6 linked regions of the Coturnix japonica genome follow. The protein of the gene in region 6 interacts with the protein of the main gene of each other region in a biochemical or structural test. Links are inferred from orthologs where the notes say so. Each region holds a gene or a part of one and is shown on either strand. Other genes may lie near its edges.

Region 1 (2,974 bases), on a different chromosome or scaffold from region 6:
CCCTTTGTCCTTCCCTGCCAACTCAGAGGTCTGCTTGAGCCTCCTGAGCCGCGGCTCCTCAACAGAAGCTTTGCTGGCACCTGCAAATGCAGCAGAGTTGGGTTTGGCAGCAGAACCTTGGTCCATTGTCGCAGTGGTACCTAAGGCACTGGATTTGACTCCATCGTCCTTGTGCAGCACGCTGGAGGAGGGGGGGACGGCGGGTTGCCTACGGCCAAGTTTTGGAGTCAGAGTGGGAGGGCTGGAGCCAGGACTTGACTCCGCATCTTTGAACACATCATCAGTGGTCTCTTCATTTTTCTTAAGCAGCCGTGGAGGGGGGGTCACTGTCCCCCTGACAGCAATGTCAGTCTTGGTCTCATTTGCCCGCTTTCGAGGCAGTGCTGGCTTTTCACTTTTGTGCCCCCCAAAAGTGGAGGAATCAAACTGGCGTCCTGTGGACTGCAGATCCCGGGGCAGAGTCACTGATTTCCACTCCGTGTCCTTTGCACCGTGGGGCACACAGGAGGCTGAGCAGGACCTTAAGAAACGCTTGCTGGAGTTGGAACTGCTCTCCTCCTCCCCAGACACCCCCCGGCTGCTGCTCATTGTGCTGGACTTCTTCCGTAAGTGGGGAGACAAAAACCCAGAGTTCCCAGCAACAACCCCGTTGGTGACACCGGCCCCATTGCTTGGGGTTTGAAACTTAGAGGGGTCGGCTGCTTCTGTGGGAGGAGCAACGAAAGCTCCATTGCCAGCATCCCTGCACTCCTCCTCCCCACCCACCCTGCGGTCCGAGTGGCCGTCCATCTCTCGGAAGGAGCTGCTCCGCTTTGGAGGGGTGGGGGCAGTCTTCTTCTTCTTCTTGATAAGGGCACTGAAGAGGTTGGGCTTTTTGTCTTTTGGAAGCAGCCTCTCATCTTCATTCAAACTGCTCTCCAGGGCCACTCTCTCCTTCCGTGGCAGCAGAGGAGAAATAGCAGGTTCGTGGTCCAGAGGGTCTGCAAGGGAAAGAGAAGAGACTACTGAGCTTTGCTTCAGTACCCAGGACAAGCTGCTTTCTTCCACGATCTAAACCATTTCAGCACCTCCAAAAAAGGTGCAGGTTCTGAAAAGAAAACCACCAGGAATAATTCAAGTACAGCTACACAGAAGCCCAGACTGAATGTGATCCTTAATCCTCCACACACTCACCTGTGAGGTGGCCAGACTTGGCTGCCAAACTACATTCCCTGTAGGCTTCTGATTTAAACAGCAATATACAAACACAAACTGTTTATGTTCAGATTCCCATCCTTGCATCTAGAGACTTGTCTGAACTTCGTACTGAGAAGAAGATAAATACAATGATGCTGCTTCTTTTGGTCCCTGTGAGGTTGCTGCCTTTAGAACGTCTGACCCTCCGAATTAATAAGAAATCTATGTAATCCACCCTTGTTCTTTTAGCTTCTGATACTCCTAACCTCCTTCCCTGACGTCGCTCTTCATAGGGAATGGAAATAACTCTTTCACAAGCAAAACCAAGACATCCCTTGGCAGCTGAATGCCTCAGGTCACATCACCAGAAAGATCACCAGCTTAGCACAGTAGTGGAGGGAAGTGGGAATAACAGCCTCCTTCAGCAGGATTGCTCCAGAAGAAAACAGTGGGGTGACCCTTTCTCCACTTACAAGAGGTATTTAAAAATGAATAGTGGTTTATAATAAATTTATGCTGGGTCCTGCATGTCTCTGTATTTGACTGACTGGGGGTCTCATTCCAGGCCAGGCACTCAGATGGCATGCTAATTCAAGAGAGCAATGCCTTTAGGGCAGCATATACATTTAGAGCTCAAGTAGGTAGTAAGAAGGGAGACGAAGCAGACACATAGATCAAAAGAAGGCTGCTTCTCAGTCACATACTGGTGATCATCATGCTGAGGGTAGGATTTTGGTTGAGGAAGGAGTCAGAAGAAAAACAGTTTGGTACATAGGGAAAAGAGTATGATTCCAAAGGACTAAGTGCCACTGAACCATTCACATGTAAACTGAGGCAGACCTCAACAAACCAGCAGAGCTCCTACAGCACTTCAGACAGTGCTGTTCAGACACAGTGGGGCTTTGGAGACCCAGGGAAAACTAGTAGCTTTCATTAAGGACCAGCTTCCAGCCACTGGACTATGAGAACACTGACAACTAAACAGGAAATTGCAATGAAACATCTATAGGAAATATGTGTTTTTCCACAATAAAGACTGAAATAATACCCAGCATAATGTTAAAATCATATTGTTCCTGCTGCACTTGAATCTCTCAAAGTCCTTAAGTATTTAAATGAAGTTATTTTACTTCAAAGCTTACAAAACTAGGCAATTATACCTCCTGTATACAGCGGGCTGGATTTGCCATCGGTCTTTAACACTACATTGCATTAATTAAGTTATAACAAAAATAGTGAGCTCACTATTCAAATCTTTTTCCAATAGAAACAGAAGGCTCTTTGTTATTTTCATTAGCAAACAAGTCAATTCAGAAATCAGTACATTCTGTGAATAACTTTCTTTCCTGTTTCAGTCACCGTCACTTTTCCAGCATTTTACACTCCCTTTTGTGTGTGTGTTTTCCCCTTTCTTTATCGAGATGTACATTTGCTACTGAAAGATGTACCACTAGGTGAGTCTGGCGTCATCCAGAAAAGGTCACTCACAGGAATGGTCAGACAGGGCGTGTTTATCACACACTGCATTTTGTTTTTATCTTGCTGTTTTTCAAGCAAACTGGATACGAATCTACTGTATACATTCAGTGCCTCAGCACTGCGTTCATTACCTCAGAATGGAAGAGAAATGCTTGGAGAAACAGACTGAATAGAGTTTAATTTCATGGAAGATTCTGTAAATACCTCTTTGTCCCTTGCTGCAATTATATTTGGTACCTGCCAAGAGTAATACTCTTCAGTGCTCCAAGCACAAAACTGGTGTGATGGAACAGTGAAGAAACCTCCCTTATGGGGCTTG
Region 2 (4,239 bases), on a different chromosome or scaffold from region 6:
GGTGAGACTGTGTTATCTCCGGGTGCTGCAGTTCCCCATTTTCCTCTCCAAACCCTTCACCAACGCAGACCTCAAGACAGGACCCCTCACGTTACACTGTGGGTATTCCAGCTCCTCCACACCTCTGCACAGCACAGCCATCCTGGGGCTGGGAGCAGCCCCCCATAAGGTCTGAAGCAAAGCCACCAGCCAGACCCCAGCTTCCCCAGAGCTTCTCCTCCCTGTATCCCCACTATTGCTTTCATCCCCTCCACATCTCCAGCACTGCTTTGCCCCCCCCGGCAGCTCCCAGTGCATCCCAAGCATTCCCAGCTCTGTGCCCAGGAGGGCAGTGAGGAGATCCGTAGCCTGGAGGGAAGTCAGAGCAAGACGCAGATTTACAGGTCCTGGTTCCTGGCCCACGTTCAAACCACATGAAATCTGTTTCAAGGCTTTCTTTTCAGCCTGTGCATGTGCAGAGGCATGTGCAAAGCAGTGCCACTTCCCTCACACCAAGGTCACAGCACCAGAGCAGGGCTGCACTGAGCATATGGCCCACACCAACCAGCTCCTTTTTCCCCTGGCCAAGCAGACTGCAGAGCAGACTATCACACAGCATCACACTCCAGGGAGCTGACCCACACTGCTCACCCTGCATCCACACTTCCGAGAGGGCTTTGAGCTCAGAAGCTCTGAGGAAGTGAGGTCAGCTGGGAAATGGTTCCCAGAGATAAAGGGCCAAGTTAGAAACCGTGCTGCAGGACGGATGGTACAGGAAGCAATAGTGCTGCAGATAGCCCTTGGTGCTTCCCCTGCCATGCCTGGGGTGGTGCGGGGCAGCAGTGATGCACGGCTGTGCTTCCCCTTAGGCACGTGGACTGAGTGCTCCAGCCCAGGGCTTGCTGCAACCCCTTCTCCATCCAGACGTGGCACGTGCTCACTGGTCATTAAAACATGTCATTGTGAGCCAGCCCGGAGCCCATGTCCCCTCTGTGCCACCAGTTTGTTCCTTGTGTATGCAGCAGAGCCTTCACACATCAGACTCTGCAAATTACGGCCCCTTCCCTCGCTGTGCTGGGACAGACAGACCCACCTGGGTGATCTTGAGTCACTCCAGGACAATGTCATTCAAAAGCAGAGGTATCTGTAGGGCATCTCCATCACACAGGGAGCACTGCAAGGCCACTGACAATCTTAACAGCGAGCACTGCACATCCCTCTGCTGTGATGGCCCATAAGCAACCCCAGCTCCAAAATCACCGGGCTGTATTTTGGGGAAGCTCCTGAGCACGAGGTGCTCAGATAAGATCCAAAGCTAAGAAGATAAGGTCAAAGCTTGGGAATGGGTGCAGCCCACAGCCTGCTAAGGAGAGGTGCAGTGGGATCACAGACAGGCTCACAGTGGCACAGTGCTCCCCAGGGAGCCTCATCTCAGACACTGAGCAGCAGAGGTTTGTCCATGGGCCAACCATTGAGCCAGCACGAAGCAGCACAAACAAGCAGCAGCAGCAGGGGATCATCCTGCAGAAGAGTGCAGGGGAACAACAGCATCACACTGCTCCCAAGCACAAGGTCACCGGCATCCCACCACATGCCCCATCACATCCCTGGGGACAGGGGTGAGCACCAGCACGGAAGGAGGAAAAACACCAAACTGAGTCTTTTGTTGCCACATTCCCACAGCTCCGTTTACATCCGATGCTGTTGGATCAGTGCTGTCCCATTCCCAGCACTCAGGCACTGAGCACCCTACGGGCTCCAAACACCACTGAGTGGGGGAACATCACCCACGGGAGCTGCTCCCTGTACCCTCAGAGCTCCCGGGCAGCAGAGAGAAGGGACGGTCAAGAGGAAACCAAACTGCCGTGGGGCTGAGCCGGGGACCGAGCGCACTGCATGGGGTCACGGTCAGCAGGGGAAAGTCCACCCAGGCCCCGGCGTGGTTCAGACAAGTCCCACGGTGCTTCCTCGCGGCGGAGACACGCACAGCAGCCGGGCTGCTCCGGGAGAACCTGCCGGCCGGGTACAGCCCTTCCCCGGGCAGCGCGGGGCTCTGCAGCCTCCCCGGGCGAGGGCAGAGCGAACGCCCGGCGGAGCGCGGACACGAGCCCCGAATCACCGACGAGCGAATATCGAGAGGGAAACGGAGCAGGAGACATCAAAGCAGGGGGGCGATGAATATTTCATGCCCCGGCCTGCACACAGCCCGGCTCTCCCTGCTCTGCTCTCCCAGTGTTTCCCGCAGCCCCCGATCACAACAAAGGGGAGTGCGGGCAGGCGGGGCCGGACCCCGCAGCTCCCCCCTCCGCTCCCCCGGCGGGCCCGTCCCCATCCCCCGGCAGCCCCGCAGCCGGCCCCGGGACCCCGCGCACTCTCCGCCGGACCCACGGCCGCCCCACGCAACCCGGAGCCGCCCCGCCGTTACCGCGGGCATTACGGAGCCGCCCCGCTGCCACCCGGGCATCCTCCACCGCACGGCGAGCATCTCCCGCCGGCCCCGCAGCCGGACCCCGCGGGGACCATCCCCGCCGCCGGACCCCGCGCAGCCCCCGCTCACCTCCCGCGTGTGCGCCCCGCGAGGCCGGACCCCGCCGCTCCCCTCCAGGGCTCGGCCGCGGCTTTGTCTCCGTGCCGGGGGCGCGGCCGCCGCCCCCCGCAGCCGCCGCCGCCGCTCTGGGTGCCCGCACCGCGGGCCGGGCCGTGCCGGACGCTCAGGGCTGCGCCGCCGGCAGCATCGCGCAGCACCGCGGATCCGGAGCGCCGCTTCCCCGCCCCCGATCACCCCTTGTACGGGGTGTGTGTGTGTGTGTGTGTGTGTGTGTGTGTGTAAGGGGGGAACAGCCCACAGGGAGGGAAAAAAAACTAGGAATATGGCAGCAGTAAACCGGAAACGGCTTATAGGAAAAAAAAAAAAAAAAAGAAAAGAAAAATCGCCGAGCCCCTCCCCTCGGGTTTTTTTTTTTTTTCTTTTAAGGAAGAAGCCTCCGGGCTGCCGGGCTCGGCGGGGTGCGGAGCAGCGACCGGAGCCGCCCCCGCCCGCGGCTCTACCGACGCACCCCGTCCCGGAGCCGCCCGGTCGCGGCGGGGCCACGCGTGGGAGCGCGGCGCGGTTCTGAGCTCGGCTCCGAGCTGCCCGCCCGGGATCGGCGAGAGGAGAGCGGTGATTTGCACTGAGGTTACAACCCGGCTGCTTTGCGGTTCGCTTTTATTATAGCGACCGGGGCACGCAGCGAACAGCCGCTTTGTGATGGATTCTGCGCCCTCCTGCATCCTCGTCCCCATCCCCCTGATCTCGGGGAGGAGGCAAAACTTCAGCGCAGGGGAATAAACAGGGAAAGAAGAGCGTGCCGTGAGCCTCCCCGTGGAGCCACGAGCGTGGACGTCGTGCCCACCCCTCGTGCTGCCCCTCACAGCGACCAGAGCGGGGGCTTCTGGAAACTCCAGCGCTTCAGAATCAGTGCGGAGGGTGACTGAGTTTGTTTGCAGTGCGCACCCCTCCCCCGGCTCATTTGAGTTATTAAAAAAATATTTCCCGTGACACTGCCGAGGGCCAACAAACCCATGAGTCACCGGGAGTCATGCACACACCGAGCCGTCCCCACCGGCCAGCGCATCGCACGGGGGGGCCTTCCTGCCAGGAGCAGCCTGATCATCGCTCCCTGCATGAATTGGAGGCTGCGGCCCCAGACTGCAGCCTGGTGTCCGTGGAAAGTCCTTTCGGTGTTGTTAATTCTACAGGGCATAGCAGGGCATGGATGGATGCTGCACCCACAGCGGCTGCCCCAGCCCCACAGCCCCGCAGCCTCCTGCAGGCAGCACAGCCCCGGGCACCGGGCTCGGCCCCAGCCCCGAGGTGCTGCTGCACGGGCTGAGCCCAGACCCACATTGAAAATGGCCACCAGACACTCCTGGCATCCAGCCTCTCCTCTTTGGGGCTCTGGCTCAGCAACGTGCCCTCGCAGCACCCTGGCAGGGGCCCTCCCGGCTCACGGCTCAGCTCTGTGCCCGAGGCGCGTTCACCTGCAGCCCTCCAGCTGCCCTCTCCTCCTGCCCCACTCCCAGCCCTGCTCTTCTCACCATCCCACCCATGCTCTTTGTGAGGCATTCCACTCCCTTCCCTGAAACCTCTTTCTTCTTTCTCTTCACCTTTCAGTAGCACCAAAAACACACGGTGGGGGGGCAGGGCAGAGAGGGATGCAGAGGCTGAAACTAGAAGTGAAAGGCAGGTGCTTTCCAATTCCAAGTCACTCTCACTGAGTA
Region 3 (3,500 bases), on a different chromosome or scaffold from region 6:
GTGTACTGAAATAATATGAAACGCAGCTTAATGCAGTCTTCTATATCTAGGATCTATAACATCCTAACAGCCTTCGTTAAAAACCAGATTCCTTATCAAAAGAACCCATAGTAACAGGAAAAATTCAGTCCCTTTACCTGCTGCATTATGTCTGTGATACTCAATTATTTCTGGGATGGAGTTAAAGAGGTGTTTTTCTGCAAGGTAGTATTGCTTTGGTGATGTCACTGTTTCTTTTATATGGTAGTGTCTTATTCCTGATGAACCTTCTCTGAAAAAACAAGTAAAATAATGTCATTTGTTGAATATTAACCACATGAATTAATTCTCATTTTGGCTTGCTCCTCAACTCAGCTCCCCACGTGAGCACATAGGCTGGCACAAAGGAAAAGACTCAAAAGCATGTCAGAGCCTCCTTTCAGTGGCAGGTCAGATCTACACTACATTAAACCCAATGAGGCTTAAGCACACAGTCAAGAAGCTGATGTTATGTCACCCACATATTCTAACTAGCAGCCCTCCCCCTCTTTGCTGAGCTCTCTCCTGGCCTCCCCTCTAGGCCAAGAGTCTCAGTGTACACTCACTCACACAAATTCAGACAAGGTAAAGTATACAGGGTGGGCACAGAAACTTACCCTCCAAATTTTGTATAAAGGGAAACTGTATACAAGCCAGGCTGACTTGAATCTCTCACCACAAAACCACCTTCTTTGTCCTAAAATACAAGCACATTAACAGTTTTATACCACAAATAACTTTAATCTTCATATCCTTCATTCTTGTTCTGTGATTCGCACATGTCAAAATGAAACGTTAGCTTAAATAGGTTTAAGAAAATGCCGTGGTTTGTACACAAGGCTGCTGTACTCACCTCATTTCTAAGGAGCTGCTCTGCCTTGCTGCGGTTCAGGTTCCTGCTGTACCACCTGCAACACAACATCAGCAACTAACCAAAAGTTCTCCCAGACATCCAATTTATGTAAAAGGCTTAAAACCAAATATTGCAAAGTTACCATTCTGATAATTTTTTGTCCTGGTGCTCTTACATATCTACTTCATAAATAAATCAGAAAAATAAAACATAAAAAACCTCTCTGTACTTTCACATCTGATATACTGCATGAGTACACTGAGACTTCAAATGCGCCAAGCGAAACACTTTGTTGAATTTGAGAGCTTCCTTGCAAAATAGCTGATGTTACTTACATTTACTTTGTACAATTTCCGCTGTTCTCTCCTCTATCTTCCTGCCACATCCTGGGTAGGTATATCACTTTAATATTAAAAAACATTCTGCATGTTTAAAATGGATAATTTTCTTTTTCTATCAGGAGACTTTTTTGTTAAGTTTTTACTTTTGTTTGTTTTGGGTTTTTTTTTGCTTTTAATGCTAATATTCTAGAAACTACTTGCCTAACGGCCATCTCTGTCTTATATCTACCTTATAAACCACAACAAAAAACAGCAAGGAGAAACAGAAAAAATATTTACATATTTAAAATATTTAATCTCCCAGATCAGTGCTATAGTAGACAGCACTGCTTTCAACATCTACAACAGTATAAGGTTTCAAAACAGAAATAAATGCATTGTAAAATAAAAGCTATGCTTTAAGTATTATGGTATTTCACATTTTAATTTAAATGTTCACTTACTCATATTGATCAAGGTTGTTAGACTTCTTTCCTGTTACATAGTTGCTTGGGATATATCCTTCATGCCTAAAAAATATATTCACTCTTAGCAAAAAAGGACATAAAATTACATGCCTAGAAGACAGTATAAATTCTGTTAATTACCACAGGTCACTAGCAGTCATTCATTTATTATTATTATTATTACTATTTTTAACCAAGCTACCCAATCTACTAATTACTCAGTAATGAATTTTCCACATCAGCATTTCCCCATTAGCCTTCATCTAAAGAGTTACACAGCCTACAGAATTGGTGCAAATTTCAGCTATTTGTTAACACACAATCAATATAAACTACTAAAACATGAAAATAGCCTGAAAAACATTATAAGGAAAAGTAAGAAACTCATGTTTACCCATGTTTGTCTCTCGCCTTCCACCAGTGAATGTCATTCTTCTCAATTACTGTATATTCTTCACCTTTATCTAACCTTAAATCATGACGTTCTGTGGGCTGGAAGTCATACATTGCAACCACCACCTCCTCCTCTTCGTTGTCATTTTCCTCAGCTGGAGGAACAGGTGGTGGTGGCCTTCGCTGAAAACGACACAGAATCATCATCATTGCTCTCCACTCTGTGATTCCCCACCACCCTACCTCTGCTATTACACCCCTGCAAACCAATCGAGCACTACAAAAGCAAAAGACTGGACTGCCCCACTCTGGAGCTGCAAAGGTCAGGCTAAGGCATGCATGGGACATTCACACCATTGCAGCCCCCATAGTTCTTATTTTTGGACCCTCTCTGCCAGTAGTGCAGATACCTACCATACTTTTTTCTGGCACTGGCAAAGGCAGCGTTACTACACCTAGAAAGAGAGCACAGAAAAGCATTAAGTATCCTATCAAAAAAGGCTAGCTCAGACAGTAAGCAATGTCCACAGCAGGCCCTGTCAATAAATACTTCTTGTACAGGAATGTGTAAAGTTATATAAAAAGAGTTAAAGTTTTTAAATTACTTCTTGGGTCCAAAAGTATTTTTTTCTCCTGAGTTTTTTTCCATTCAAAAGGTCTTGTAGTGTAAAGGCAACCACAAGCAATCCTTTTATGGAATGGAAACCACTGTTCCTAACCACTGCCACTCAAGGCTGTGATCAAGGGAACCACCTGATTTCACCAGAAGGTGAGCATTGGTGCCACTTCTTTTCTTACTAAGGAGGATTCCTTACATTAAGTTCAAAGTCAAATAATTACTGTACTGTTATGCAGAACAATATTATGCTGAGGGTCATGCTTTCACATTTTTACATGCCACAGCACACACTGCTGAACAAGCACAGGCTGTGATTTGCATGCTGGAAGAGTCACATGCATTCAGAAGCGATGTCTCATCCAGATTCAGCATTTGGACATTTGCAAACTTCTAAGAAACCTGAGCCATGTGTCTGCAAATTCAGTAAGCCTGGTTGCCCTCTTGTACCATTTTCACATCAGCGTAATTTCTCTGATTCCAGCAGGGTTGTTATTCTTCTACACAGGCTCACAGGAGTCATTTATTCAAATGAAGAACTGGCGAAGATTTACATCTGAACCTTTTTCACCATGAGGTTTTAACCTTAATCTGAGGTAAACACTTGATCAAACAGGTTTTAGATGGGAAAAACTAGGCAAGTGGAAAACAAATTCAGCAATCTTAGTGATTCCTTGCAGATGTCTCCAAATGGTTTTTTGGGAGGACAACTCACGTTTTAACGAGTTTATTTTTACACAAAGTGCTTGGAGATGAAAAATATTTTTATTTAATCTAGGCACAGTGTCACTGAGTCACCCTGCTCTGTAAATTTCCCCACTACTTACAGCATT
Region 4 (4,289 bases), on a different chromosome or scaffold from region 6:
TGATACGTCTAACAGGTAAGTTTCCCTAAGAGAAAAGAAGTTTGCATGGATGTGAATTTTCAGATGGAACTATTCATCTCTAGCCCTATTGTTTTGCTTGTGTTGCTCTGCATGATTAAACAGCTGTTGTTTTCCACCCAGGCAATGGCTGTACTCAGCAGCTGGTGAAGCGATACCTGCACATGTATTCAGGGCCTAGTTTAAGATCCTTCTGTATTAGTGATGTCACAAGATTTTCCTGAATATTTTTGCTAAAACATAAGGATCTGAGATAGGCGAGCTAGCTTCCATTGTTGTTATCTGTGCTCAGAACAACCCAAACACCTCAGCTGGTACCGGCTGCCAACATAGAAAATAAAGTGAAAAGAAAACTGGCTATGCTGTGATCAAGTCTTTTAACAAACAGTGTGCGAAGGGAAGAAGGCAAAGCTGGAGTTCAGCCTGCACAGCATCCAGCTTGGGCAGGTTGTGACATCTACCCCCAATCTTGCTTCTCCACTTGAGACGTTACTTACTTCACTAGGCTTTGTTTCACACTAACAGCCTCAAAAGTAGAACAAAACAAATAAAACTGAGTGCAATCACAGATCTGACCTAAAAAGCAGTGTTTGCAAATGTCTGTAGCACATTTGTCCTGTCCTTACCTAGGGCAGCCGGGCACAGAGTGATGCCTGAAATCAGACCCACTACCACAGCTCGTGCTGCTCCTCCAGCTCACAGCAGCACCCAGCACTGCTGGGCCCTGCTCAAGCCCTTCCCGGGCCTTCTTTCCTACTCAGCCAGCACCCCAAAGGGCTTTGAACTCCTCATCTGAGAACACCACAAGAGAGGAAACTCAGAACGCTTAGGAAACCAACACCATAAGTGCTCAGAGGAGGCAATGTGGGTGCCAACTGCATGCGGACAAGGAGCCCAGTCACAGAATCACAGAATGACCCGGGTTGGAAGGGACCTCAAGGATCATGTAGTTCCAACCCCCTGCCTGGCAGGGCCACCAAACATACACCTTTACTAGATCAGGTTGCCCAGGGCCCCGTCCAACCTGGCCTTGAACACCTCCAAGGACGGGGCATCCACAACCGCCCTGGGCAGCCTGTTCCAGGGCCTCACCACTCNAACCTCCCTGTGCAGCCTGTTCCAGGGCCTCACCACTCTCCTAGTGAAGCACTTCCCCCTGACATCCAACCTAAATCTTCCCTCTTTTAACTTAAAACCATTTCCCCGTGTCCTGCTATTGTCAGCCCTTTCCAAGAGTTTACTCCCCTCCTGGCAGTAAGTTCCCTTCAGGTACTGAAAGGCTGCAATGAGGAGCTGTGAGAGCCCAGGGTCTCACAAGAGGGGCCCATATAGCAGCACACCAACTCCACCGGCTCCCCGCACACACCTCCAGCCCAGCACCAGGCGGACACTTGCGGCACAGCCCCCACCTCCCCGCTCTCCCCTCACGCTGCCGCGGGTTGTAACGCGGCTGCGCGGGGCGGTGTCTCCGTCGGGCTCCCACTGCCCGGCGCCGCCGCCATTTTGGTGCTCGGCTCTAAGAGGGGAGGGAGCCCGTAGAAGAAAGCGGGAGCCCGGCGCTCTGCCCCTCCCGTTTCCCCTGGTCCGGCTTTAAGGCTCCGTAGCCGGATACTCCTCGCCACCTTCTCGGGCCGCTCATCTTTGCCGCTCGCCGCCGCTCCTCGCAGCTCTGCCCGGGCCTGAGAGAGGCGGGAAGGAAGGATGCTGCCCCGCACACCGCGCCGCTGAGCACATCGGGGCCCTGAGCGCCGCGTCTGGCCGGCCCCGCCCGGCCGATCCTCGGGCCTGAGCGGCACGGGGCTTCCATCTCCGCATCTCCCGTCCCCGAGTCGCCCATCCGCCGGGCTGGGCGCTTCCTCCTCGCCCCCGGCCCTGCCGCCCGCCCGTCCGGGCCTTCCCTTTCCCCGGCTCTCCTCCTGCGGGGCCTCCGGGCTCTCGGCCTTCTTCCTCCCCTCCCTCACCCTTCCCCGGCCGGAGCCATGTCTTCCGCCGCCCGGTTCGATTCGTCGGACCGCTCCAGCTGGTACGTGGGCCCGGTGTCGCGGGCGGAGGCGCAGACGCGGCTGCAGGGGCAGCGGCACGGCATGTTCCTGGTGCGGGACTCGTCCACCTGCCCGGGGGACTACGTGCTGTCGGTGTCCGAGAACTCCCGGGTGTCCCACTACATCATTAACTCCTTGCCCAACCGCCGCTTTAAGATCGGCGATCAGGAGTTCGAGCACCTGCCCGCCCTGCTGGAGTTCTACAAGATCCACTACCTGGATACCACCACCCTCATCGAGCCCGCGCCCAGGTGAGTGCTGCAGCTCTGCCACCTCGGAGCTCCGGGATCTGCATGATGGGGGTCCTTTGCTTTGGAACTCTTTCTGACAGGGATCTCGGAGATGGCTGTAGGCTGCTCGTTATCCTCAGTATAGTGCATAGGACCCATCCTTATGATGAAAACAGGCAGATGCAGAGGCTCTGGGAACATCCCTGCCACCCACTATAATTGTCTTGCAGGAGGGTGTGGTCTTGCTTTGTATCAGCCTTCTGGTATTGTCCCCTTGCTGGGAAGGCTGAGAAGCTGGCTCAGAAGTCTTCCCGTCCCTGGGAAGAAACACGGGCCTCAGAACTCAATTGCTCTTTCCTCACACCCACAGTGATTCCAACAGGTCGTGCCTTTGTGATTCCTGCTTCATCGTTCTGATTGAATTCTCATGCATAATAAAACATTGTTTCCCAGACTTCTTACCCAGAAAAGGGTAAAAGCATTTCTCTCTGTCTGGCTATGGCACTCTTTGTCTTTGTGTATGCAGGCACTAAGAAACCTTCTCTTAGGAGGATGGGAAAATGTGACTTGGCTGTGAGCTCATTCTTTGTCCTGCACCCAACACTGGGCATACCTGCAGCCTGCATCACTAAACAGCTTACCAGTAACTCTAGAACATATTTATTTCATCCTCTGTGCTTGCTAGATAAAAGAAGGAGAAAAGCTATTAAAATAGTGATCCAATTAAATAATAATAATAATCAAATAGCTTCAATTCTAAACTCTGCAGCCGAAGGGGCTTCTTTCAGGTTAACAAGTTCCTGGGAGGGAGGGCAAATAACTTTCAGTTTTAGAATCACAATTTAACGTTATCATAATCCAGTTCTTAATCACAATCAGTAAGTTGTCAAAAGCCAACCGTAGCATCACATTGAAAAACACAAGTGGTCAGCAGGCTCATGGAGCTGTCAGGTGGTGGGAGGAGCGTGGCAAAGTTCTGGCCTCAAGAGCTCCTAAAGCTGCTGAGAAACCTCCTAGTAGCGGTTGTGCTGTGGCTAAAGAAACGGGTAGGTGAAAAATTCCCTCCTCTTTCACAGGTGCAGAAACATTTAAGGAGCTGCACAAGGCTGTGTGTGCATTTAAACTTACGGACACAGCCTGTTCTGCAGTGATGCTCTTGCTCATCTCTGTTCTTGTTAACTTGGGCAGTGTCAAACTTCTCCGAAAACAACCAACCTCATTCTTAGTCACGGACAGCAATGACTTGGCTTTCGCAACTTAAACTGAGTTGATCCCACTTGTTCTCTTGGTATTTCTGTCATACCTTGCATGAAACATTTCCTGAACATCTTAGTACCACCTTATTTTCAAGGCTTTCAATACATTCAAATATTGGTGCTCTCAGCACACAGAGACGGATGGGACCTGGCATACTGCGAACTGACAGGCTCCCTTATAAAGCTACAAAGGCCATTGAAGTGGTTATCCACAGTATAATTCTAGTTCTAGAATTTTGGACAAAAATCACTGATGTGGTTGATGGTTTGGACTTCTGTTTATAAAAGAAACTTTGCGGTGCAAGAGGGAGAATGAGAGGTAGCACTTCCAGCTTTACTTTCTTTAAATTAATGGACTGGATTTAGAATAGGGGTGGACAGGAGTTTCTTTCAGAACTGTTATGGCTAATCCTCATTTCTCTTTAAAATCTGGCATTTTCAGTGGAACACCTCAGGTGCTTTTGTAGGCTGTTCTTCTGACTTCATGATGTGTGTATATATATAACATGTATATAAATATATATAAAACATATACATATATATATATTAGAAAGCAGTATTTGTGGTATGTTACTTTCAGCAGCTATTAGTATTTCATTTTGTATTTTATGAAGAATGTCACCTTATGCTGTTACATATTCAGATATTCAGGGAAAGGTGAGTACTCTTAAATAGAGCTGAAGCTGTGACAGTAAGATCAGGGAGCTTAATCCTGTATTTCTTTCCAGAATAAAAGGGAAATG
Region 5 (4,282 bases), on a different chromosome or scaffold from region 6:
TAATCTTAACTATAAATTCAATCATTATTCCTAAAGAATTATAGCAAACCTTTCCCTGTATAAGATTATAGATAATATTGATCTTTGTTTTGATAATAAATCAGGAGTTTAATTCCATAGAAGCAGATGGTACATCTACAAAGAAAGGGCCCTTCCAAAATAAAACAGCAGGACTGAGAGGATGCGATTTACTATCAGCATATGGCCAATCTGAATGACTTAAATAAGAACGATGAAAACTGACACCATAAAGGAGCTGAATGAGAGAGAAACACGGTTCTATTCAATCAATTTTTTATTGAAAAGTCACACTCCGAGGGTTATGTGGCAAAGGAAAAGCTGTTAAGAACACAGAGTAGGGAGGTACGTGTACATTTTCCACAATACTTGATTTGTTGTGAAGGATTCTCTTTTATGAAGAAAGCTCAGCTCACAGTTATGCCCTGGTTCTGCAAAGACTCCTGTCTCCCTTTTGTCTGAATAAGGTACTGTTAACCAGAGCAAATTAGGGCCTGCACAGCCTTCCCCTCAGCACACACTTGTCAAAGCACTTAAAGACAGACATCACTCCAGCACTTCAGTCACAGGACAATGCTCTGACAGCAAATCCCACTCCTATTAGCATATGTCCATATTGCATATTTAGGACCGAACAGGTGGTCATTTACAATCTGTCACCCCATTTCCTAAAGATACTTCCAAAAAGGACTCTCTCTCTCTGACTAACATAACTGGATCTAATGGAAAAAGCAGTCTGATCTATTTTCAGAGAGAAAACCAGAAGTACAGAATTGTGTGCTCCAGTGATTTGACAACCCTGAAGAAGTAATTTCACATTCGTGTGCCTCTATTTCCCTCCTGATCCTTTGTCAGAACTGCCTGATCATATTTCCAGCTCATTAGTGACGCCAGTCAAACACTGTTCAAACACTGCCTTAAGTTAGCAAACTTCTACAGAAAGTCAAGAAATCAGGAGATTACAGGGAAGACTGTCAAAGCGAGAGACATGAATTTAAAAGGGATTCATATCGGTACATTTTTATGTCCTCCTGATGACTTTAATGATTCCTGAAATCATGGAAATACACGAATGGTGCAGAAGTCTCTTAAGAGTGGTACTGGGAAAGAATGTAACAAAGAACCCAAACTCAGATGGGCTTTCAGGTCGTCCTTCTGATCCACGCCTTGAAACTATCTACCAACCCTCATGGTTTCACACAATCAGACTCCTTAAGGTTGGAAAAGCCCGCTATGAACATCTAGCCCAACTGTTTCAGTACCTTGAAACCTTACATTATCTACTATCCTCAGGAAACTTCAGGAACAACACATTTCTAGACACTACTTGGTGCAACCAATAGAGCTTCTGAAGCAACTCCATTTTTTAAATAGCCAGGCACCCTCCCAGAGAACTGTTTTCTGTACTGAAACGGGGCTTGAGGTGCTACACACAAACCTGCAGACTTCCTATGCTTCAGCCCAAAGGTTGTGCATGGAGTGCTCATTAATTACACAAACTACACACAGCATTATCTGATCCTACATTTTTCACACAATATAAATTGAGAACTGCTCTGCTCAGAGTGCGAAATTCTGTTACCAGCACCACAGGACATCCATTCACCTTAAAACAGAGATAACAGAATGAAATCCAACAGGAGGTTTGCAGGATTTTCACCTCTGCCTCCTGCCTCCATACAGACAAACCAACATCAGCCTCGCTTTAAACTGGCTGAGCAGCAAAGTCAGGCGCTATTCTGTAAGCACAGCCCGCCCACTATTTTAAAGTAGAAGAAGAATTCTACTCATTTCCAACCCGCGTTCCAGAGTGAGCAAACCTCACCCTCCCTACTCCACGAAGGCAAACACGTGCGTGCAACCTTCGTGATATTCCTGTATGAAATAACAAAAAGGCTGGGGTGTTCTTTGTGCTGTTCTTGTTGCTTTTTTTTAAGGTATAAACAACGGAATGCAAAGGGATGACACGAGGAGAGCAGCGCTTTGTACAGCGGGGAGGTCTCCGCCTGTTACAAAGTTAGCGCCGCAGTCCCAGTCTGTCCGGGAGCCGCCCGGGCCTCCCCCCGCCGCACGGACACGCGGCGCTGCGCGGAGCCGCGCTCTTCCTGCGCTCCGGGAGCGGAACCGAGGGGGGTGGGGGGCCGCGGTACTTACTGGTTGGTGGGGGGCGCGTTCAGCGGGATGGCCACCTCCTCCTCCTCGTACTCCGGCCCGTCCAGCGAGTCGCCCTCGTCCACGGCCGCCAGCCCTCCGGCCGGGGGTAGGGGCGGCGGCGGCGGCGGCAGCGGGGGGAAGGCGGCGGAGCCCGGCTCGCTGGGCGGTGGCGGGGCTCCCGTGGAGCCGAGCGCCAGCAGCCCGAGCGCCGAGCACAGAGCCGGGCCGGCGCCCGGGCTGTCCCCGCCGGAGCCGGAGCTGGAGCCGGGCGCGAAGGGGCCCTGCGGCCCCGGTGCTTTGCCTCGGCAGTGCCCCGGCTCGGCGGCGGCCGCCGTCCCGGCCGAGGTAACCGAACCGCCGTCCTCAGCTCCGGCCTCGGCCGCCATCATGTTGAGCCTCGCCCCCCCTCCCGTCCGCCGCTCGCCCTCCCGCCCGCAGCCGCCGCCGCCGCCGCACGCCGGGGAGGTGGCGACAAAGGGGCCCCGGCCCACCCCGCCCCGGCGGGGAGCGGAGCCGGGACGAGGGCAAAACTGTCCCGGCGGAGACGGGCCGCGAACAATACCCGGCTGGGCGGGGGCTGCGCGCTCACGGCGGCTCCGCAGGGCCCCGGCGCGGCTGCCTCGGCCCCGCCGGCCGCCAGGGGAGCGGCTCGGCCGCCCCGCGCTGTGCCCGCCCCCGTGCGCCCGCCAGCCGGGAGGGGGGAAGGACGGAGGCGGTGGGACGGGCCGCGCATGTGCGCCGCTCCCCAGCCTCGTCCCTATGAGCGCGTGCGTGGAGCTGGGCGGGGCAGGAGGGGGAGCGGCCGCACCGCGTGGGGGAGGAAAGTGCGGGGTAGGAGCGGCCCGAGCCGCCATGGTGTGCGGCCAAGGGGCGGCCATGGTGCGCCCTGAGGCTGAGCTGCCTTTGGGAGGGAAAATAGAAGAAAGTATGGGGAGTAAAAGCCAGGAGAGGCGGCAGGTGGCGCGGGGGCACGGCGGGAAGGGACGGCGCGATCGGGGCGTGCTGAGCCCGTGCTTTGTGTGTCCCCGTTATAGCTGCACCGCCGTGTGCTGCGGGAGGAGAACAGCGCATCGCCTGCAGCCGCTGTGTGACCGCACTGCCGCCCGTACTCCATTGCCGGTTACTCCGTTACCGTGCTGATACTTCTCTCATTATCTTCTTTTTTTCTTCTTCTTCTTTTTTTCCCTCCCCCCCCATAATAAAAGAGCTGACAAATAGCAGCACGTTGACACTTGCACGCCTCTCCAAAGTTCTCAGGAGGCATCTAAACATTCAGGTTTTCAAAGCCTTGTGTTACCAAAAGAATTAAGTGAATTTCTCCCCAGGCCACTAAAACAAACTCCTACTCGCGCTTCCACCGCCCTGCAGACAAACCTCCTTTTATCTGCCGAAACGAACCTTCCTATCTTGCCTTCTGAAGGCAGGATCCCATTCCAGGTCCTGCAGCGCTGCGAGTACCCGTGGGACTCTGCTGGGCTCGTGCCCGGTGTCAGAGCAGACGCTGTCTGCGTCCCTGGGCTCACAGAATGGCAGCGCGTTCATGCCCTGCTGTGCTGGTAAAGAAATTACAGTCTCAACAGCCATCTCTTACGGGCTTGGTTTCCACGTTGCCATATTTCAATCGGATATGTAATTCCACGTTGTCTTGCAGCCCACTGGCTCCGTGGGCTTCTGTTTAATGCTGTTTGCTTTCTCCTACGGGTTTTTAAATAAAAGGATTTCAGCACAGTCTTGTTGTTAAAATGATATTCCTAAACATAGAGCTGCAGTGTAAATATTTATGATTGCTTCGACGAAACACGCTTTTTTAACTGACTTAAAGGGGCAACAGCATGCGCATATAAGCATGGAGACCAGGGCATCTGTGCTCTGAATTTCCTGCAGCACTCCTCCAATAGATTTAATCTGGGTAGAGCAGTTCTAAGTGTGGCAAGGGTTCCACAGAAAGGTAATTTCTTGTGAGACTGGCCGAGTTGTTTCACCCCTGCCCCTGACACGCTGCTTCTTTCTACTTTGCCAGCAAAGTCATCTGCCCCGGGTCACTTGCATTTCCTCTTTTTTAAGACTTTCAAGTTGAATTCCAGGCTTTGATGAGGCTTTATTTAAAGAA
Region 6 (3,941 bases):
ACCAAGCAGGAAACTTTCCCAGGGTCACGTGGCCGGGGTTGCAGCACATCTTGCAGAAGGCAAGCTGCTGCAGTTTCAGTTTAAAACTAGTCACATGAGCTCCCCTGTGAGAAGTAAGGCCCAAACAAGGCCAACAGATTCTCTCTGGCTTCTAAACAGGATGCGCTGCTAAAACCCAAAGTCCAAGAGCTGACAGCAGCATCTTCTGCCCTCCTGAAGTATCCAATGGAGCAGAGCTCAACCTGGGAGCAGGCAGCCAAGAATGCCCAGGGGCTTTGTTGGACTGCACCTTCCCTCATGCTCAAAAGAAAAAGAATCAGAACAGTTTGGGTTGGAAGGGACCTTTAAGATCCTCTAGTTCCAACCCCCCGCTATAGGCAGGGTCACCTTCCACTGGGCCAGGTTGCTCACAGCCCCATCCAGCCTGGCCTGCAATGCCTCCAGGGAGGGGACGTTCACAACCTCAATGGGCAACCTGTTCCTGTACCTCACCACCCCCACAGGACAGAATTTCTTTCTATTACCTAGTCTAAATCTACCCTCTTTAAGTTTAAAGCCATTTCCCCTCGTCCTGTCACTATATGCCCTTTCAATAACTCACTCTCCAGCTTTCCTGTAGGCTCCTTCAGGTCCTGGAAGGCCACTATCTGGTCTTCTCTGAGCCTCCTCTTCTCCAGGCTGAAAAGCCACGGCTCCCTCATGCTGCCCCTGCTGGGGAGGTGCTCCAGCCCTCTGATCATCTCTGTGACCCTCCTCTGGACCTGCTCCAACAGCTCCATGTCCTTTTTGTGTTGGAGGCCCCAGAACTGGACACAGTACTCCAGGTGGGGTCTCACAAGAGCAGAGTAGAGGGGCAGAATCATCTCCCTCAACCTGCTGGTTGTGATTCTCTTGATGCAACCCAGGATCAAATGATCTCTGTGGGCCATTCCCAAGCTGCTTACCTCCTGGACCACAGTTAACACAACACAAAATCTCACTCTCCAAGCAGATGAGCAGAAATTGCAACCAAGCACCTTCACCTTCTTGCATAGATCACATGCAGCAGCTCCTACACCTTGTGCTCCAGGGCAGGCCTTCAGTACAGCCCCTTGATCTCACAGCACTGTCAAACTCATCCTTAAGCTGCTGACCAGCTTCTGGACCCCAAGTTTGCAACTGGCAGCTACCAGGTGAACCAAGGTGTTAGCACAGCACTGCTCCAAGGAAGCACTCATCACTGCCCCCACCATAATGAAGGTGGGTGGTGGGCTCCCAGCTGAGCACCAGGAACCCTGCCTAGGACAAAGGCTGCAATACAGTCTGCATGACACAGGGCCACAGACATGGAAAGACTCCCGGTGCCACCAGTGCCTCTGAGCTGGGCCAGTCACTGATGGCTGCAGGGAGGTCCTACAGGGAAGCCCAGCCCTGCATCCATAGCCTGAGTCTGGAAGCACTGCCCAGCAGTGACCAATTCTCCCACCCCAAAATGAGTACAGGGCACATGTGGGATCAGACAGGCAGGGACCTGTCATAGAGCCATGCAAACACCAACACATACAGGCCACCACTGCCCTGTGATCTGCCTTCTCAAGGATGCAATAGGCAGCTGATAGCCAGCCCTGGGGAGGGGCTGGGAAGGGCTGGGAAGCTGGAAGCCATGGGCCAGCACTGATGCTGGCACTGGACAGTGACCCCTAGGCTCGGTGAGGGGCTGCTCTGTCCCCAGAGCTGCTGGTGCTTCCCAGGAGCCTGACGGGTCCCAGAGCTGGAAACTGCACCACTCAGTGTTGAGCTTCTGCCTCTGCAGGAAAGGCAAAGAGCTGGGACCGACGGGGACACACCTCCAGCCCTCAGCAGGTCTGAGGGGCTGAGCAGGGCTCCGTGCAGCAGCGCAGCGGATGTCCCGGAGCGCGGGGCACAGGCAGGAGCCCCTGGGGACGTTGTGCTGAGCAGCCGGGCGGCCCCACGAGTCCAACCCGGGCGGCTGCCGAGGCCGGAGCCGCTTCGCGGGGCAGCCCCTGAACGGCCGCGGTGCCTCGGGACGGTTCGTCGGGGCCGCGACACCGACACACGAGATGCCGCCCCCGCCCCCCGCCCCGCTCACCGGGAAGGCGATCTCGCACAGCTTGGCCACCCACTCGTCGCTCTGCTGCCGCTCGGCCGCCAGGAGGTAACTGCGCCCGCTGGTCTCCAGGCGGAAGGCGGCCGTGCCGGCCCGGGGGCCGCTCTCGGCGGGCGCGGGGCTGACGCTGGTGCAGTCCGCCAGGCGAACCACCGTCTTGTCCAGGCGCCGCGTCCCCAACCGCCCGGCCGGACCCGCCGGCTCTTTGCAATCGAAGAACTCCAGGCGGGCGACGCCGTGCTGGCTGGCCGGGAACAGCGCGAACCAGCCCCGCTTCCACCGCTGCAAGGCACCGAGTCAGCGCGGGGCCTCCCGGTCCCGTCCCGTCCCGTCCCGTCCCGTCCCGTCCCGTCCCGTCCCGGAGCACGGCCGCCCCCGCCCTCCCTCCCTCCCTCCCTCCCTCCCTCCCTCCCATTGCGGCCGCCCGAGCGGAGCAATCTGCGGCCCCCATCGCTCGGCAGCGCTGCGCTCGGCTCGGCTCGATGCGACCCACGGCCCGGAGACCGACGGAGACCGACCGACCGACCGACCCCGTCCCGCCCCGTGCCCCCTCGGCGCGCACCTTGGTGCCGAACTTGTTGCTGTGCTGCACGAACAGCGGCCCCTCCTTGGCCGGCGGCTCCATCCCGCTCCGCGCTCCCCGCGCTTCCGCCGCCGCTCCGGGCTCAGGGCGGGGCGGGGCGGGGCGAGCACGTGAGGGAACGCGCGGGAGGGGCCGAGAGCAGCAATGAGCAGCAATGAGCAGCAATGAGCAGCAATGAGCAGCAATGTGCGTGGGCGGCGTGTGCGTGGGTCTGTGTGTGTGTGTGTGTGTGTGTGTGAGTGTGCGTATGTGTATATGTGTGTATGTGCGTGTGTATGTATGTGTATATGTGTGTGTGCATGCGTGTGTGCGTAGATCACCGCGCCCGGCAGAGCCAGGAGAGCAGCCCCGCAGTGCTTTGGCTTTGCATCGGATCATACAGTCTGGATACTGGACACACTGCATCCACACTTGGGAAAGAAAAGGGACAGAAGGGCACTGCCCGGGGCACTGTCCTTCACCCCTCACTGGGCTCCACGCAGCCTGACATCCCCAGCGGTTGGTGGCACCGGGATATGGCTGCTGGTGCAGGATGGAGGTTGGGCACCCGGCACTGCCTGAGCTGGGCCTGGCCACTGCAGCCCACCCAACCTGGAGCCCAGCCTGTCCCCGCAGCACAACCCAGCACAGCTTTGTGCAGGAGGTGAGCAATCATGGCCTGTGCCCAGCCAGCCCCAGGAGGGGCTGCTTGCTCAAGTAACCCCGCCTGGCAGCACTCAGCTGGCTTTCCTGCAGTATAATTGTCTGCCCTGGTGCAGCTTTTATCGATGAGCACGATTCTGGTTATGAGCAGCATCGTGTCTGCCCCACCCAGGGACTGAATCTTCACATGCTTTGAGTGCTCCTTGCATTGTGCAGCTGCCTGCGTGTCACTGAGCTCTGAGCACACTCTGCTGGCCCACGGTGCACTCTGACTGTCGGGCTGCAGCCGGTCAGTTGCTCGCAGGCTCCTCACTCCCCACACGCCCAGACAGCATCACCTGGCCTCCCTGCACTGCCTGAACCTGCAAGGGGGAAAGGAGGATGCCGCAGATCCTGGCTGTTGGCCTCTGACACCCATTTCTTCTATGCCAACCCATGCAGGCTGGTTAGATGGAAACGCTACAGGTAGTGAGAGCTGCTGGGAGGGCCCTCAGCAGCGCCCGTGTGCAGGAGGCCACCAACGCTTCATCCTCCTGCATGAATGGGCCACAGTAACAAAGCCACGTGTGTTCTTCCCACCTTATGAAGTCGTGCGACTCAGGCTGCAGG

What was found.
Region 1: the proteins of DOK1 (region 6) and ABL1 form a complex in vitro, tested with the Homo sapiens proteins (5 studies listed by BioGRID, with this or other methods). The link is inferred for Coturnix japonica from reciprocal best matches to the Homo sapiens genes DOK1 and ABL1.
Region 2: the proteins of DOK1 (region 6) and SRC form a complex in vitro, tested with the Homo sapiens proteins (2 studies listed by BioGRID, with this or other methods). The link is inferred for Coturnix japonica from reciprocal best matches to the Homo sapiens genes DOK1 and SRC.
Region 3: of the proteins of DOK1 (region 6) and TEC, one has a biochemical effect on the other in vitro, tested with the Homo sapiens proteins (2 studies listed by BioGRID, with this or other methods). The link is inferred for Coturnix japonica from reciprocal best matches to the Homo sapiens genes DOK1 and TEC.
Region 4: the proteins of DOK1 (region 6) and CRKL form a complex in vitro, tested with the Homo sapiens proteins (2 studies listed by BioGRID, with this or other methods). The link is inferred for Coturnix japonica from reciprocal best matches to the Homo sapiens genes DOK1 and CRKL.
Region 5: the proteins of DOK1 (region 6) and RASA1 form a complex in vitro, tested with the Homo sapiens proteins (2 studies listed by BioGRID, with this or other methods). The link is inferred for Coturnix japonica from reciprocal best matches to the Homo sapiens genes DOK1 and RASA1.

Annotation. Positions count from the first base shown.
Region 1 is NC_029532.1:4,620,324-4,623,297, reverse strand, and holds part of ABL1 (tyrosine-protein kinase ABL1), read right to left. Parts: intron 981-2,974; coding exon 1-980. UniProt on the Homo sapiens protein: Non-receptor tyrosine-protein kinase that plays a role in many key processes linked to cell growth and survival such as cytoskeleton remodeling in response to extracellular stimuli, cell motility and adhesion, receptor endocytosis, autophagy, DNA damage response and apoptosis.
Region 2 is NC_029535.1:4,438,549-4,442,787, reverse strand, and holds the start of SRC (proto-oncogene tyrosine-protein kinase Src), read right to left. Parts: upstream 2,801-4,239; 5' UTR 2,537-2,800; intron 1-2,536. UniProt on the Homo sapiens protein: Non-receptor protein tyrosine kinase which is activated following engagement of many different classes of cellular receptors including immune response receptors, integrins and other adhesion receptors, receptor protein tyrosine kinases, G protein-coupled receptors as well as cytokine receptors.
Region 3 is NC_029519.1:60,016,314-60,019,813, reverse strand, and holds part of TEC (tyrosine-protein kinase Tec), read right to left. Parts: intron 2,507-3,500; coding exon 2,466-2,506; intron 2,235-2,465; coding exon 2,053-2,234; intron 1,722-2,052; coding exon 1,656-1,721; intron 927-1,655; coding exon 872-926; intron 716-871; coding exon 636-715; intron 272-635; coding exon 138-271; intron 1-137.
Region 4 is NC_029530.1:7,302,009-7,306,297, reverse strand, and holds the start of CRKL (crk-like protein), read left to right. Parts: upstream 1-1,489; 5' UTR 1,490-1,997; coding exon 1,998-2,311; intron 2,312-4,289. UniProt on the Homo sapiens protein: May mediate the transduction of intracellular signals.
Region 5 is NC_029547.1:54,365,730-54,370,011, forward strand, and holds the start of RASA1 (ras GTPase-activating protein 1), read right to left. Parts: upstream 2,801-4,282; 5' UTR 2,562-2,800; coding exon 2,173-2,561; intron 1-2,172. UniProt on the Homo sapiens protein: Inhibitory regulator of the Ras-cyclic AMP pathway. Stimulates the GTPase of normal but not oncogenic Ras p21; this stimulation may be further increased in the presence of NCK1.
Region 6 is NW_015439533.1:510,280-514,220, reverse strand, and holds the start of DOK1 (docking protein 1), read right to left. Parts: upstream 2,801-3,941; 5' UTR 2,733-2,800; coding exon 2,670-2,732; intron 2,390-2,669; coding exon 2,090-2,389; intron 1-2,089. UniProt on the Homo sapiens protein: DOK proteins are enzymatically inert adaptor or scaffolding proteins. They provide a docking platform for the assembly of multimolecular signaling complexes. DOK1 appears to be a negative regulator of the insulin signaling pathway.